3 linked regions of the Schizosaccharomyces pombe genome follow. The protein of the gene in region 3 purifies or fractionates together with the protein of the main gene of each other region. This does not show direct contact. Each region holds a gene or a part of one and is shown on either strand. Other genes may lie near its edges.

Region 1 (4,891 bases), 450 kb from region 3:
AAGGTATTGATTCCATACGGCTAGACACTGTATATCATTTGTACGAATTATCTAGAGTTAACTTTAAAAAATACCCTATAACAAAAAAAGATAAAACTTCGATACATCGATTTTTTCAGAAAGAGCAGCTTTCATTGTTCGTGTTGGTATCACAAAGTACCTCAGCACACCACCCAACATTGCAGCCTGCAGTTCATAAACATCGCCAGTTGTCTTCTCATAGCTGTAAATTGTTCCTAGGAAGTTTCAAACTTAAAAAGTTTGTTTGTTCATATTTAAAATCCAATTTATACCCCTAAATATAAAAAAACTACAGAGTTCAACCTAAATTAAATAGGTTCGAATTCTGACAACCAGTGTTCACAAACATGTATGATGATATTTTCTTTTATTTAGCTTTATGGGTTATACAAAGCGTTTATGGTGCCTGGGATTGGGCAAAAAATTGGGTTTTTTGGACATGCAGTTATTTACTGAATTTTTTGTATCATCACCATTGTAGTAGAGATCTTATAAGACGCGATACGAAAAAATTAAAGAAGAAACCAAAACACATCGCCGTTATTATTGAGTGTGTAGAAGATGGAGGTATAGAGGGCCTTATTCATGATGCTTGTGAATTATCTGCTTGGTGTGTTTGTTCTAATATTCGCGAACTTACGATTTATGAACGTAAAGGTATATAATTGCAGTTGAAGTTTTGAAATTCCATTACTATTTGATTACATTTATTAACAGATTTTAGGGTTTTTAAAGCAATCTCCCGAAGCTGTTGAAAAAGCTATTTACTCTCACCTGCCATTCTATCTTGGAGGTGACAAGTGTACCGTCCATGTAACTAATCCTTGCTCTCCTGATGAAAAAAATCAAAATGACTGTGTCGATTTAAAGGTTCATCTTATAGCGAAAGAAGATGGTCGAGATGCTATCATCGATTTAACTAGAGGTTTAGCGGATTTATGTACTAAAAAAGTTATCAGTAGCACCCAAGTTACACTGGAATTGATTGATAAAGAATTGAAGGAGAGCGTAATACCTGAACCAGACTTACTAATCATATTTGCTCCTCTGCTTAAGTTGCAAGGATTTCCACCTTGGCAGCTTAGATTATGTGAAATATTTCATGATCCTATTTTATATACAACAAATTACCTAACATTCTTTAAAGCACTTGTTCATTACTCGAATGCAGAAATGCGGTTAGGGCACTGAGGTTTTATAAATTTAAATATGAAAAGCCAAAAGCTACCAAAAATTTATCAAGTTGTCTTCTTGAGGTTTTTGTTACTTCTTGTCTAAAATGCTTTTTGGATTTTGTTAATAAAATTAGGAATTCAGTATTACAGAAAAATTTAATTTACTTCAAATGCTTAGATGATAGGCATTAACAAAATTAAACAGACAGGCAGTCAGATTCATACTTTGGATATTATATGCATTACAGTTTTAAAAAAATTTAATAAACATTTTCGTTAGAAGAATATTATAAAACTTAAATTAACAACTAAACATTCACTTTCGAATACGATCTTTTAGAAAACCAGGCTTGCTACACAATAAGAATCTTCGTTAAGGTTCCTTATTCGCATACTGTCAAACCCCTGCTGAGATGTTCACCTCTTTGGATCGAAACCTTTACGTTGATAACCATATCACGTTGACGAAAATGGACTATCAAAATACGGAGACAATTGCCGAGCAGGAAAGGAATGCTAGTAGGCTACCGCAGATGTTTCAAATGTCTTCGCATCCTGTAGCTCTTTTCTTCTTTCTTTTATTTCGTACCGGTGCAATTGTGGCATACATATTGGGCATGTTCTTTACCTCAAGTTTGTAAGTTTTTAATAGCAGAAATTTAAAAGAAAAAGAAATTGAGCTAAACAAATAAAAATAGTATGTTGTTGTTTATTGTAATTTTCACTTTGCTAGCTGTTGATCTTTGGACTGTTAAAAACGTCTCTGGTCGTTTACTAGTTGGTTTGAGATGGAGAAATGAAACTGGAGTTGATGGTGAAAGCATTTGGATTTTCGAATCGGCAGATCCCAGTCGTCCCAGAAACGCCGTTGATCAGAAGACGTTTTGGTACGCTCTCTATCTATATCCATTTATTTGGATCATATTGGGGATTGTAGCTATAATTCGATTTGAATTTCTCTGGCTTGCACTCGTTGCTGTCGCAATTGGACTGACAAGTGTTAACACCGCTGCTTACAGTCGTTGTGACAAAGACGCGAAGCGTCGTTGGGCTACAGAACTTGCAGATTCCAATTCTTCTGGATTTGTTTCCAGATTTTTATCTAGGGCTTTTATCAAGAGATTTATTGGTTAAAGCTCTTTCAAATTCTGTAAATAATTTTTCGAACTACATTGCATTTTAAGCTCATTGTATATGAAAAAGCTAATTTCATGGGATTCTGGCTTAACGATTTGCTTGTTAATTAAATTGACGAAAGCGCTGGAACGATATTGTGTTTTTACTTCCCAACTTTGAAATGACAGAGCGTCAATTTGAATCCTTAAGCATCAACTGATTACGTATTTTTATAATACAAAAGCCAAAAGACTGTATGACGGATCCTGTATTTTAGTATGAGTTTATATAACCTCCCATACTGTTACTTTCAAGCATATATCTTCTTTTCTGATTGAATATTTGAATAGAGCCCAATGGTTATTTTTAGGTGCACATTACGTTCTTTTATTCATACATTCTTTTATGGTTAATACTATCACACAAAGTTTCATGAAGGCCAACTGAGATCTTTTGAAACCCACTACATTTATTTTTCCATTGATAACATTCTTAGTTAGACTTCAAATATTTACGCATGGAGTGCTTAATAAGATACCGATGAACGAAACTTCAAAGTTTGGTGCTACTTTTTATTTCGACAACTATGTTCCTGCGTGTGTTTGCTGTGAACTTAAAATTTAATACTTTCTTATTAGTGATGAACATATATTGAAACGAAGTTCTTATAACAGCATAATAAAAGCGGAAAGAATATGTAATTGTTAGTTTCTAATATACATATTTTAAATGGCAAAATATGTATTTAGATGATTCCTTTACTAAAGAGCATATCATTTTTTTAGTACATATATAAAGCATTAGCTTAAATGTCAATTATAAATTCAAGGATATGCGGTTTCTTACACGATTCGCAGAATTTCGGTTTTCATATGCTTTATGTCAACAAACCTCCCAACTATCAAATAAGGAGAACCTTTTATAACTCCTTAAAAATATTAAGGTATTGAATGTCCTAATGAACGCCCACATGTTCACTGTCTCTATTGGCAATATATAATGGAAGTCCCTGGTTTTCTATTTTGTTCAACACCACATTTTGCACCTTAAAAGATAGTTTAAGTGGAAAGGTGCACTTTATAACATTCTATAACGTCTTTTATTTTCTATTTACTTTTTTTTTTGCTTGCCTAAATAAATATTGAAATATTCAGTGGCCAGAAAACCCCGATGGAGAATGTTACATTTTCCTTACCATTAAATTTTTGATTCCTGTTTTTTTATTACCGCAGCAATCATATTTTACCATATTCCTCCTTTGTATATAATAAGTCTCCTACAAATATTTCCTTTGTCTTATTTGTTGTTTTTATTTTGAGTACTGCTTTATTTATTTAGATTCGACTTTATTGTGGTCGTTTTATTTCTTTTTTTTGGTTTTATTATTAGACCACTGAGGTACTAGTTTTTTGTATAGAATCTCCTGTTACAATTATCTGTTTTAAATGGATTCCAATACAAATGAGAATAATTCTCATGCATCATCAAACGAGAGACAATCATCTGAAGGGCATGATGACTATTTGAATCGTAATCCAAACAGTGAAGCAACTGAGGGTGAAGAAGGTACCCACCCTACCACGGGGACTCAACCAGTTGCTTTTTCAATTGGTACAATGTTTATCATAACTCCTCAAGCCAATTTCGAGGGTGGAGAAAATGATCCGTTTGCCAATCCCTTTCAACCACCCGTAAAACGCGCTGTAAAAGAAGCCTGGGATTCTTTCGAACCTTTGTCTAATGACCAACTGATGGATTTGACTTGTCCGATCTGTTACGATGATATGAATGAAAATGATGAAAAGCAGGCTACCAAGATGCCATGTGGCCACATATTCGGTAAAAATTGTTTACAAAAATGGCTTGAAAATCATTGTACATGTCCTCTTTGTAGAAAAGAGGTTCCCCACGAAACAGTAGGTTCAGCTCATCCTCCTATTTTATTTATCATTCCACACTCACATACGCTTCGTGGCAACCAAGGCAACACCGCGGTTTCTCAAGAAAATGCATCAAATGGTGTTCATTCCGACTTTCATCCATCTGAGGAGCTTAACAATGCAAACACTGATGGTCGAACCGGCGTAGACGAACCAGCTCGGCAACTGCATCGCATTGCTTTTAACCGAATACGTTTTATTCTAGCTCCAAATCGATCTGCCACCAATACCCCTGTTGAAAATACTCACCCTGAAAACCCTGACTCAAACACCTCAACACCTACTACTCGTAGTGAGCCCTTAGCAGGAGAAGGTGCCTCTATTGATGCCGAAAATGCTAGCTCTAGACAAGAGACTACTCCTTCGGATTCTCGTCCTTCGACGCTTACGTCCTTATTTAATGCTTTCTTTTCATCTATGCCTGATCGCCCTTCCTCTAATGAACCTATGACTTCGAATCTTACCTCTAATTCTGGTAGTATGACGAATAGTACTTCCACAGACTTGCCAACTAGTAACTTGCCCTCTCAAAATGCTCCAGCTAGACCAGTTGAGCCGTCACCTTCAATACAGCCTCCCAATTTGCTAAATCTTCCAACGGCTTCGCCTGAATCAACTTCATGGCTTCCTGGAAGCCAA
Region 2 (4,290 bases), 280 kb from region 3:
GAGGAAACACAAATTATTTTAGAATGACTGTAAAAATGAGATAGCCTTTCAACAGTACGTGTTGTCAGCAATACATTAAATGAAAATAACTGCTTCTTAAAAGTCAAAAGCCGCCTTATTTTTTACTTGATCACGACATGAAAATTGCTTTCATCTGTTTAATATAAATCAGCATTACGTTGTTGGTCATGATACGTTTGCATTTCTTGAAACGCATCCCACCATAGCTTGGATGTGTCTTCATCATAACCTAGACTTCCTTCTGGTTGCCAATGTTTTCCATGAACTGCTTTTAGATATGGTAAGTCATTTTTTCTAGCCCAAAGTCCGTTAAAAGTCCAATCAAGTGACTCCCATGGAAAAGCACCTGCTGAATTGTATGCAAAATTTAGCAAACTTTGCTCCATCATGTTTGCATTATCATACAATTTTGGAAACCTTGCTAATGCCATTAACCTTTTATAATGTGCCTTCAATGGCTTAAAGACGAATAGACCAGCATTAAAATAATCTTTAAAAGGAGGAGGAGTTTCATGCCACATACCTGGATCGGACACAGCAGCGAAAACGTAGGGATAAAGATCGTCTCTTGTCAGCCCGTAAGCTGCAAACTCTTCTGTAAAGCGTCTCCAAAAAATGCTGCGCCTAGGCTTGTAGAATAGGGTGGGAGGAAACAGAACAGAATCCTTACTATAGGAGAGTTGGTGAACATCAAAAACTTTGTCCATTTTTTTAATAGGCAAAATATCACTATCAAGAAAACATATTCTATCATATTCGTACATTTCGAAAACTCTCAACTTGGTAAACATCATACTCCATCGGGAATCCAGTAGGGCAATGTCATTGACATCGTCAACCACTTCATGAGCATATAGTGGATCGACTACTTTAACAATAGCTCCGTCTTCCTGCAATTGATCAAGCTTCCACTGATCAATTCCCTTCATGGCTAGCACTACAACGGGATACTTGCTTTTCGTAGGTTTAAATTTGACAAGTCGGTGAACGAGAAGCCTAGTTGAATTATAATACCAATCCTGTTGCGTATTTTCTACTTCGTTTTCCCCATTAGCGGCGCGTACAGTAAGCATAGTTACAAATGCCATCTTAGAAGAGGGCGCCAACCCTGTCAGTGTGTAAACTGACCTTTGTATTTCTGGACTATGATTGTATAGCAAAACACATTGCCAACCTAATAAAATAATGCTCAAGGTAATCAGTAAACACAGTCCTAGTCGTTTGGGATGGCGAAAAGCACTAAAATATAAACGCATTTTAATGGCAATTGATTGCCAAATTATAAAATGGTGGTGCTTTCGGAGAGAATTACTCTACATACTCCCTTAATGTTTGTTGGTGCATCATACACATTTTGCTTACTTTCAATACCAAAACAAACTCAACACCCTGAAAAACAAATAACATAATTAAATCGACTTTATAACGTAAAAACATCAAATGTTTAAAAATTAAACAAGCTTACTATTTTAACTATAAGAAATGTTAAGATACATGACTCTGACTTAAAATTTTCTCTTATTTAATAAGACGTTTAACCTAAACCAATTATAGTATAATACTAAATAGTTACCGACAAGCTAAGCTACTCAAACTATGTCGAAATGGGTGAATGACGAGATAAAGACAGTTGCTTCCACTGAGGGTTAACAGCCAGTGTGAAAAAAGGATAAAATAACGGTGACTTGAAAAAAGGGCTATCGAACAACTGTTAGAAATTGTCCGGATTTTTTAGGTTATAACAATTGCTTAGGGAAGCAAATTAAGACGGGAAGCAATATCCACTTGAGTACGTAAGGTATTTGCGAGATAAACTACAACCAAAACATCTTGAAGATGTGATGAAAAAATTTTTTCAAAATCTTGGCCTTCTACGCAAGGAATTAAACTAAAGCACTTCATCAAATATCTACCGACAGCAACATTAGCAGGCGAAGAACCATCAATTACGTTTTGCACATAATCGGAAACTCTTTCAATCATAGATAAAAGCTCCAAGGTTGATCTTCGAAGTTGCTGGAGATCTGTGAATAGGCTAGCAAGTCTAGATGGGTCATTCTTAGGAGCAGCTACAGCTTTCAAACCAGAACGGACTGCCTCGTCATCACGAATGGTAAAAGGGGTAGGGACGAATGCACAGCTGTCAGCAAGGCGCTCTGTAATACCTACTGGTGAAGAAACGTAAGTCTTGATGGCAAGGGGACTGCTAACATCTGTGTTGACAGTAAGGTGAACACAGGGATGAGGATACGTTCCTAGTGGAGCAGTTCCGGGTTCAGCAGGAGAAGCATATAAATTTTGAATCAGTGCACTGAAAGCATCTAAATCAGGAGAAGTAGCATACCAACCAACGACAACTTCACGAGGGTTAGCCTTGAGGTGTAAATGGTACATCGCACGATGATATTCCATTTCAACTTCTACCTGCTCACTGCTCTCATTATGAGGAACTGCAAAACAACTTTTAATCTCAATTTCTCGGCCATCTTCAGAACGTGTTCCCAAAAGTGTACCGATAACACGTTGATTATTTTCACTTTTCCGGGTTGAATGGTCAAGGATAGAAAAAAGCACTGCTGGTTCAATGACAATGTTCAAAGGACTTGACCTGGAAGACGGTTTTGTGAGATGGAGTACGTGCTTAGTCCCCAAAGCCATTTTTTAAAATTTTCACGTTGTTGGCTACTCTCAGGTAGGTAGATCTGGTATTGTTCCCCAATCAATAATAATTTTACTGTACTAGTTTACAGTCTCATAGAATTCGTTAAATTGAAGACACTATTTTTCGCCTAACTTCTAAGGTTTACCATTTAAGAAAGTGTATTTTCAGTTGCGTTGAATAATCTAAAAAATCTCCTTAACAATGTCTCATTTGTACGTACAATAATGAGAAACTCTTTATTCAAAATTCTATAACTATTTACATTTGTACATTCTCTGGTTAAAAATCATTTATATATATATACAATGTTCAAAAAATTCGGTTAGCAAAAAAGTGTAAACATAAAACCCAAAAAAGCAGTTTGCTTTTTCTTGACTAATAATGAACAGTAATTTAACTCATATCAGCAAAAACAGAGCACTCACGAACATGAATACCATAGGAAGTAGGAACCTTCGTTTCTTCATAAGCACTTTCTAGCTGAGAACCTCCACTAGAAGAAGTAGTATCAAACATATCTGGTTTCAAAAACAATTTGGTGAGACCAGGGTTATTAGAGGAATCAACCATGCGAATACGGAACTCGATAACTGGCTTTCTAATAGCAGCACTAGGACTAATCGCAAACTTGGCTAAAATTTTAAATCCAGACGAAGATATATTAATGTTCGAAAGATGTAGCTTAAGTTTACTAGTTTTCCTGCTAAATTCTCCGGCCGGAGAACTTTGACAGCTTTTTACAAGGACATTTTCCCCCAAGTAAACGATGATAACAAGTTTTTCAATATGAAGAGATGAGCCTAAGTTCCTCCACACAGGATTAGGCTTCACAAATGCAATCATACTACTACTGCTTTCATCATGCTTCCATTTCTGAACAACTGTCAATGGAATGCAACTAGCACCGTTAATACTATCAAGATGTAGATTAAAATCAGTGACTTTGATTGGTGAGAGAAGTAGCTCTGGTATTAAAGAAAGTGTGTTTTCTGAGGGTCCATATTTTACTGCATGGTCATTTAAATGAGTAAAAGACATAGGAAATTCAGACGCAACGCGAACACCCATTTCAGGAGGAGGGGTATTAAAATCCGAGGTATATTTCATGAATATATGACCGGAACAGGAAGGATGAAGAAGGCCATCTTCAGATAATTCACCAGAATACTTTTCGACGATTGAAGCAGAAAGCCCGGAAGAATTTGGGAACTCAGGGTGCCATGTTGCAGTCGAGTCTGGTCCCGATTGTAATGATAAAGTAGACAAATTGGGCAAGCTACCGAGGTTTGATTCCATATAGTCAGACGATGCTGTAGCATAACGATCCATTGTCCCAGCACGACGGGTCCTTCTTGATATAGTGGGATTCTTTCGTAAAGTATTTGCTACCCTTTCAATTGCAGCATTGCTATCCTCGTTTTCAGTAGGCGCAGGGGAAGCCACCGCTGATGTGGGAGACGTTGTTGTTGATCGTGATTGCATGTTGTTAAAGTTCCCACCAAAATCATTGCCATGCATCATGATAGGATTCGAATGTGATGCATTCTCTCTATCGATCGATGAAGGGGTATTTCTTGAGGCTTCAGAGTGCACAGAATTGGGTTTAT
Region 3 (7,070 bases):
AAAAAAATAATAGAAAATGAAAAGCCAAAATCGTTTTTCTCTTTTTAGCGTCAAATTTATTACCTTTTTGTTTTTTAAGGCAGTTTTTTAACTTTTTTTAGGTATTTTCTAATGACAACCTTGTATTACGCTTATGGTGAAAGTATCTATGCTTACTTTCACCATCTTTTTATTATGGATTCTTTTATGCTTCCATTGGTTTTACACCATAGGTTTATATCCTTTATGTTGTACATCATAGGTTAGTGGATTAAACGTCTTTGAATTGTTTACTAATTTTTGCTAGGTTTTGTACTTTTCGTCGCTTCCCTGAAAAAAGGCAATTATAAGTTTCAGTTCAGTCAGTTCTGTTGGACTCATATGACTTTACTCTTAGTAGTTGGACAGTCCCATTTTATGATTAACAATCTGTTTGAAGGTTTATTTTGGTTCTTTGTCCCTGTTTGCTACGTTGTATGCAACGATGTTTTCGCGTATTTGTGTGGTAAGATGTTTGGCAAGCATCCGCTTATTCAAGTTTCCCCCAAGAAGACTGTCGAAGGTTTTTTAGGAGGATGGATTTGTACTGTAGTTATTGGTTCTCTTATCAGCTATGTTTTAATGCACTTCAAATATTTTATCTGTCCCACTCGTGACTTATCTACTTCTGCTTTCAGTGGTCTCAATTGCACTCCAAATTCTGTATTTCTTCCTCACACTTATACTATTCCAGCTGTTTTTGTCGATACCTTTAGACTTCCTGAAACAATTACTCTTGCTCCTATATATTTCCATTTGGCTATCTTCGCTACCTTTTCGAGTTTAATTGCCCCTTTCGGAGGATTCTTTGCTAGTGGTCTTAAGCGTGCTTTTAAAATTAAGGATTTTGGAGCTTCCATCCCGGGGCATGGTGGTTTAACTGACAGAATGGATTGCCAGTTTTTAAATGGAGTCTTCGTTTATATGTATTTCCAATCATTTATTGCAGAAAAGAGTACATCTGTTGCTGATTTATTGGATACAGCAGTTTATAGCCTCACGACCACTCAGCAAGTGCAACTTGTTGAAGATTTACAAAACTATCTCATCAGTCATGGCAAAACTAGTGTTCAAGCTATTTGTTCCAAACTTCTTCAAAACTCAAAATAGCTTACACTTTGTTATCCTCGTATTTGTTTACTAGCCAGTCTTTTATATTATTAAATGCGTTGTCATGTATAGTTTGACTTCCGTTTGTTAGTCATTCGTTATTGCTTGGAAGTTTTGATATCCCATGTCTAATTTTTAGTCAACTCCAAACTAGATCTAGTCGTTCGTTTGCTTTATATAATTTTCAGTTTTTCACCTTAAAAATTTTGTTTGACATTTTCCGAATTAGTTTTCATCAAAAACTTTTGTCATCAGGTTGGTTAAGTGAGCTAGCTTAATTCGCAAACGCTTAGAAAAGTTGATTATTGGACTAATCTCACGTCGGTTCTACTAAAAAACAGTTTCTTGTCTCAACACATACAGTTTTGTTTACCGCTAAAGAATTTCTTATTTTCAACATATTTGATACTTTCTTTAATATTTTAAATTATGCACAGCAATATATATTTTCATTAAATCACACTGTAGTAAATTCTGGTATATAGACCCACTGTAAAACTCTATTTTCTGAGAGTGGATAAGTACTACTGCATTTAAATAAGGAGCATCAGTAGAACAACGGCATCATAACAAAAAAAAAGATGGAAACAAAACATGCAAACCCCAATTTTTTGGGAAATTTTGTAAAAAAAAAAAGAAAAGAAAAATTGGCATCCCGCAAATACGAATTAAGTTAAATTAAGTATTATGTGCTTTTCATGATTTCCTCTTCAGCAGTTGCTTTTTCCAAATTGTATTGGGACTCATCTGCCATGCTATAACTATCATGAACTTCCTTTTCAACGTCCTTCTTCGTTAACGCATCATTACGCTTGAACTCAAGTTGATTTTGTTCATCTTCCATAGCATCATAGTGGTGGAAGCAAACCCAAAACATAATACCAGCAATAAAGGCAGTGACGGCAATACCAGTGTACATCCAAGTAAGCTTAGGATTGACAGCAGTAGAAGAAATGCAAATAGATAGAATGGCACCGAATGCATTGGTGAACAAGAACAAAGCAGTAATAATGGATTTCATTGAAGGAGGGGCCTTGGTAAATGCAAATTCTAAACCAGTAATACTGGCAAAAATTTCAGAGAAAGCAATCAAAACGTAAGCAGGGATTTGGATCCAAACACTGATGTCATTGGAAACACATGTATCAGTAAAATTTGCATAGCAAGGGCCTCTTTGATAAATCTTTGCTTGTAAAACAGCAGCGTAAATCATGGAAGCAGTAGCAAACATAAACCCTAAAGTAATACGAAGGATGGGTTTGAAAGGGATGTTATACTTACGCAATAATGGATAGATGATATTGTCACAAATGGGAATGAAAATAATCAAGGCGATTGAATCGAAGGCTTGGAAAAGATCGTTAGAGACATTACCCGTTTGCATTTGTCCAGCTTGAGAAATTAAGTTGTTGGTCATTTGACCATAGCATACCCAATAGATAGGGTAAAAGAGAAAAGTTTTGCAGGCGCGTAAGGCACGTTTCAATTCGTCGATAAACAAGTCATCCCACTGATCCTTGAGCGTAACGCGTCCAACAGTAGTAGTGCAAGATGGTTTAGTTTTTTCGAGATTAAATTTGTTTTGAGCAGCAAGGAAGAACACTTGACCAACACGAACAAAGATGGAACCGGAGGGAGGAGTGTGCTTGTAAAAGCGCTTACTAACAGCCAAAATAATTAAGGGGATAACAAAGACGCACAAGGGAAGCAAGTATGCGTAAACAAAACCTTTAGTACTTTCCAAACTAGTGGTGGCTAATACGGAGAGAGAACCGACGTTAATTGACCAGTAGAAAATCATATAGGCACGAGAGGTGGTGACGACGGGGTCAACAATGACCTTGCTACCATTTTTCTTGGTCTTTACATAAGGAGGAATTTTTGGAAGCTGTTCAGCCATCAAGGGGGAAACATTGGATTTGATACCACCGGTTCCAAGACCAATGATGATCAAAGAGACGACAAACCCACCCATACTTTTTCCGGCATCAATGACAGAAGGAATAGCAGTACATGTAAGAATCAAGATACCAATAAAGTAAATGACAGCAGAGCAAACAATGGTATTGTACCTACCAAGGAATTGATCAGCAATAAGTGCAGCGCCAACCGGGGTGACATAACACCAAAATGTGAAGAAATTAGAAAGACCGTCAGCACCGCTTTCGCCTAAATTAAGGGCACCTGGAGTAGCATCCTTAGGACCGAATTGCATATAATTTTGAAAGGGAACAGTGAGACCATAGTAAGCGAAACGTTCGCAAAGCTCGACAATAATGATAATAAAGGCTTTCCAAGGAATAGTACCGCAAACACGAGGAAGGGTGGCTAATTCTTCTTCGGTAGGAGAAGGGTATAAGTCACCATTGACGAGGACGCCGGTGGACATGGATTTTTGGAGTTCATCGGTGGAGGATTGTTCGTCAGCGGTGTTGATGGTGGCAGAACCATCAGCCTTTTTCTCCTTGCTTAAGTAGGATTGATCTTCTGAAATGATGAAATCGGAGTCCGATTTCGTAATTTGTTCTTCAATGCTACTCATTGTAAACACAGGTAAATTGAATGTAGGAAATCGATCGTATGAAAATCAAAAATAATAATAAAAAAGAGAATGAACAGAAGTTTCAAGAACAATTTTTGGGTATAAAATAATTACAATGAAACGAGAAAACAAAAGAGGCGAATATTAAAAAAAAAAAAAGAGGAAGAGAAAAATAACGTAAACAAGCGAAAGATTAAAAAACAATTGTAGTACAAAAGATAAAAAAAAGAATAGATCAAAAATAATAATAATAATAATTAGTCAAACTAATTACACAAAATTGACAAGTGAATTCACAAAAAAGTTAAAATAAACACTTTTATATGTGTATCGAAGGCCGACTAACTCAACTAAGAGTAAGAAATATGAAAGTGAGTGAGAGTGAGAAAGGGTATTTAAAACAAGATTAAATATACACAACAACAAATAAGTATTTATGACAATAATAATAAAAAAAGAAAAATTTTTAGAATGAAAAAATTTTTCCTTAATGTATTAAATAAATACTTGGAAATTAAAAGTGTATGTATGTGAAAGTGTGGAGAAAGTCACAACTCCAAACAAAAGAGGTCAAACGATTAATTATACGAACGATGAGGAGTTTCCACTCAAGGTTTTTGAATTTCTCTTACTTCTAAAACACAGACTAGACGGCACGACGAAGGATGTCTTTTGAGGGGATAATTTTCAAGTATAAATACTGCTGAAAATGAAATTTGTCCACACTGATTTAGCAGTCACCACGTGTTCATGCACGCCTTTATCAATGACGGTGAGCAAAGCACGATAGGCGATAGACAAATCGTAAATGTAGGAAACGTGGTATGAAAAAGTTTATTATCTTCCCTACAGATAAATCAAAAAAGAGGGAGGACCGGTCTAGACTGCACATTTTTAATAATTAAGGTCAATGCGTGAAAGGTGGGTTTGATGGTTGATTGGATAAATCAAATGTTATTTCGGACAAAAACGTTAGTGCGGAATATCTATTTGATTAAAAATGCACGAGGAGTAACCATATCGCACAACGTGTGACCTGTTGGAAAAAGGGGTGAAAATTGGTAAATCCGCTGGAAATAGATAAGCTTGGATTTCTTCGTGTGATGCCGTTTTTTTCATCTACTCCACTATCATGCGGAAGGATTGCGCACTTGTTCAGTTGCGTGTTTTTGCTTAACGATAGAAAAAACTCGTGTACCTCCATTTAGGACTTTTGTGCCACCACATCGCATGGTTGAAGTGGAAAGTCGTACTTGACCGAAAAAGTGGGGATGAAATTGGGTACCAAGTGGGGTGCATGGAATTAAATGGTCAAGAGCACAACGTGCAGAGCATATGGAAAAAACGAGTAGCACGTTATAGTGCCAAAAATAGAAGTTTCACTACAGGAGTGAGAATGAGAGTGAGGAGAGGTATAGAAAGAATGTGAGACAATATAGTTAGTATATGTGAAAGTGAGAGTAAAAGGTATAAGTGTTACTATATGAGTATGGATGAGGATGAGGGAAAAGGTAGAAAAGAGATGACTGTCTATGTATTGTCATACATATTGTTATTTACAAACACATCCTCTACGTTTCTTATTCTCTCACGACGACATACAGGTGAACGAAGTTTTTCAATAATTTTAGAGGTTTGAGGGTTGAGTTGTATTCATTGCTTACTTGTAGTTTGCTCATTAATAATAATTACATATTTGTTAGATTCTTAATACTTTGCATATTTATTAAATTTATGTAATCGTTTGATGAGTGTTACATTGTTGTTTTTATTTATTTATTTAACCGTTGAATTCATTCCTTCTTCTCGACATCGGCCTTTACACCACGTTCGCGTGTCTCTTCTCTCTTGTTTCCTTCCCCGGGTATTCCGCGATTAGCGCTGGCGATTCACCAAGGTAAAACTATGTATGCGAATGGTGAGTGGTCTGCTGTAGCACGGTGTGTGCACGAGGAAACAAGGTCTTCTCTTTAAGAACCTCGAACCCGGTAAACATCGTGGGTGGCAGAGATAGTAAAAGCGACTAGTTCGCCTACCCCCACATGAATTGTCGCAAAGATGATGAGGGACGACAACAAGTAGGTAAGGTAAAGTAAAGTAAGAAAGGAAGAATAGTGATAGCATTAATAGTAGTGGGTATAACTGTCACGGAAATGAACATATCACACTCCAAAACGGACTTGTTGGTGTATGAGCAATTTTTCGCACCCATTTTCCCTCATTTTGCCAAATGAAACCATAATGCTGCAAGATTGCTGAAAGTATCGGGAAAGCCTAGTAAGAAATGGTCCAACTCGTTATGCAGCGATACCCTACCCTCCGTCAAGCAAACGAGATGGTTGTGTAAGGCGAGGCACAAGACTTCAAAAAGTATGCAAATTAGCAACAGATAGTATACCCTAAATTCCAAACGATATCTTCTATCACAGAATCAGATTTCTTATAGTAAGTTCATGATAACTTTGAAGAAACTTGAGTTTGATAGCATTAGTAAATAAATCCCCAATAACGAAGGAGTATGCAATGTCACATCGATATCTATGCTTCTAGCATTGCTGATTCTGACTTGACTTTTCTATCTCGTCGTCGGTGCACAAGTTGATACTACTTTGGCAGATGTTTCTCCTTTGAATTTATGAACTTTTAAACAAATTGCTTTTTGTTTCTATGCCCATTCCTTATCAATTGAAAAGGAGAGAGGAGAGAAAAGGAAAAAAAAAATTTGACCTCTTTTTGGTTTTTTGGTTTTTTTTTTTTTTTTTCGCTCTCTAAAACTTATCTACCACACCTCTTCGTCATGTAATTTGAACTATACTTTTCACGTTAAAAACCTTTTCCCCCTTTGATTCCGTCGAAAGTTTCACGGAACCAATGTTTCCAGTGTTTTCATAGAGTTAACAATGCATGTTTACCTACTAGTTGGAAAAAATTCGCAACACTTGTTACTAAGTGCTATAAACTGAACATTGCATTTTTCTATATTTTTTGCATGTTAATTATTTATTTCATTGAGCCGTCCATAATGCTTGTTTTCTTTGCGCCTACTTAACATCAAGTCGTTCTCGTCTTATCAATTGATCCTTCTGCTAATAGATTTTTTAAAGTAACAAACGTCTATAGAGACGCGCATTATGAAGTCCAACAAGTATCGCTAGTTTAATGATAAGTAAGGAAGGGTTTCATTTACGAATTGTCTTCTTTCAAACATAGGTTACTGTTTCCTTCTTTGATATTCGGGTACCTGCATATCACCCATATGTATTTCCTATTTCCGTTGATAAAATGTCATATCACTTAATTTTCTCTTCTCGTCATTTTTTATTCCGACCCTTGTTTTTATCGAACATTCGTTAAATCTATAGATAAACTCCAACGACCGCGTATTGTGTTGGGCAAATTT

What was found. Proteins that work in one complex are often made in the same cells at the same time.
Region 1: the proteins of ptr2 (region 3) and tvp23 purify together in Schizosaccharomyces pombe (co-purification; one study listed by BioGRID). This does not show direct contact.
Region 2: the proteins of ptr2 (region 3) and tif306 purify together in Schizosaccharomyces pombe (co-purification; one study listed by BioGRID). This does not show direct contact.

What each region holds. Positions count from the first base shown.
Region 1 is NC_003423.3:2,953,908-2,958,798, reverse strand, and holds tvp23 (putative transport protein Tvp23), read left to right. Parts: upstream 1-1,623; 5' UTR 1,624-1,666; coding exon 1,667-1,833; exon of another isoform or gene 1,834-1,894; coding exon 1,895-2,330; 3' UTR 2,331-3,369; downstream 3,370-4,891. Other genes in the region: nus1 (ditrans,polycis-decaprenylcistransferase), read left to right, coding at 369-678, 746-1,212; san1 (RING finger protein), read left to right, coding at 3,758-4,891. UniProt on the Schizosaccharomyces pombe protein: Golgi membrane protein involved in vesicular trafficking.
Region 2 is NC_003423.3:3,121,128-3,125,417, forward strand, and holds tif306 (translation initiation factor eIF3f), read right to left. Parts: upstream 2,712-4,290; 5' UTR 2,680-2,711; coding exon 1,771-2,679; 3' UTR 1,523-1,770; downstream 1-1,522. Other genes in the region: alpha-1,3-galactosyltransferase Otg2, read right to left, coding at 159-1,277; cytoskeletal protein Syp1, read right to left, coding at 3,077-4,290.
Region 3 is NC_003423.3:3,404,023-3,411,092, forward strand, and holds ptr2 (PTR family peptide transporter), read right to left. Parts: upstream 4,338-7,070; 5' UTR 3,671-4,337; coding exon 1,814-3,670; 3' UTR 1,553-1,813; downstream 1-1,552. Other genes in the region: bbl1 (phosphatidate cytidylyltransferase), read left to right, coding at 102-241, 287-1,128. UniProt on the Schizosaccharomyces pombe protein: Uptake of small peptides.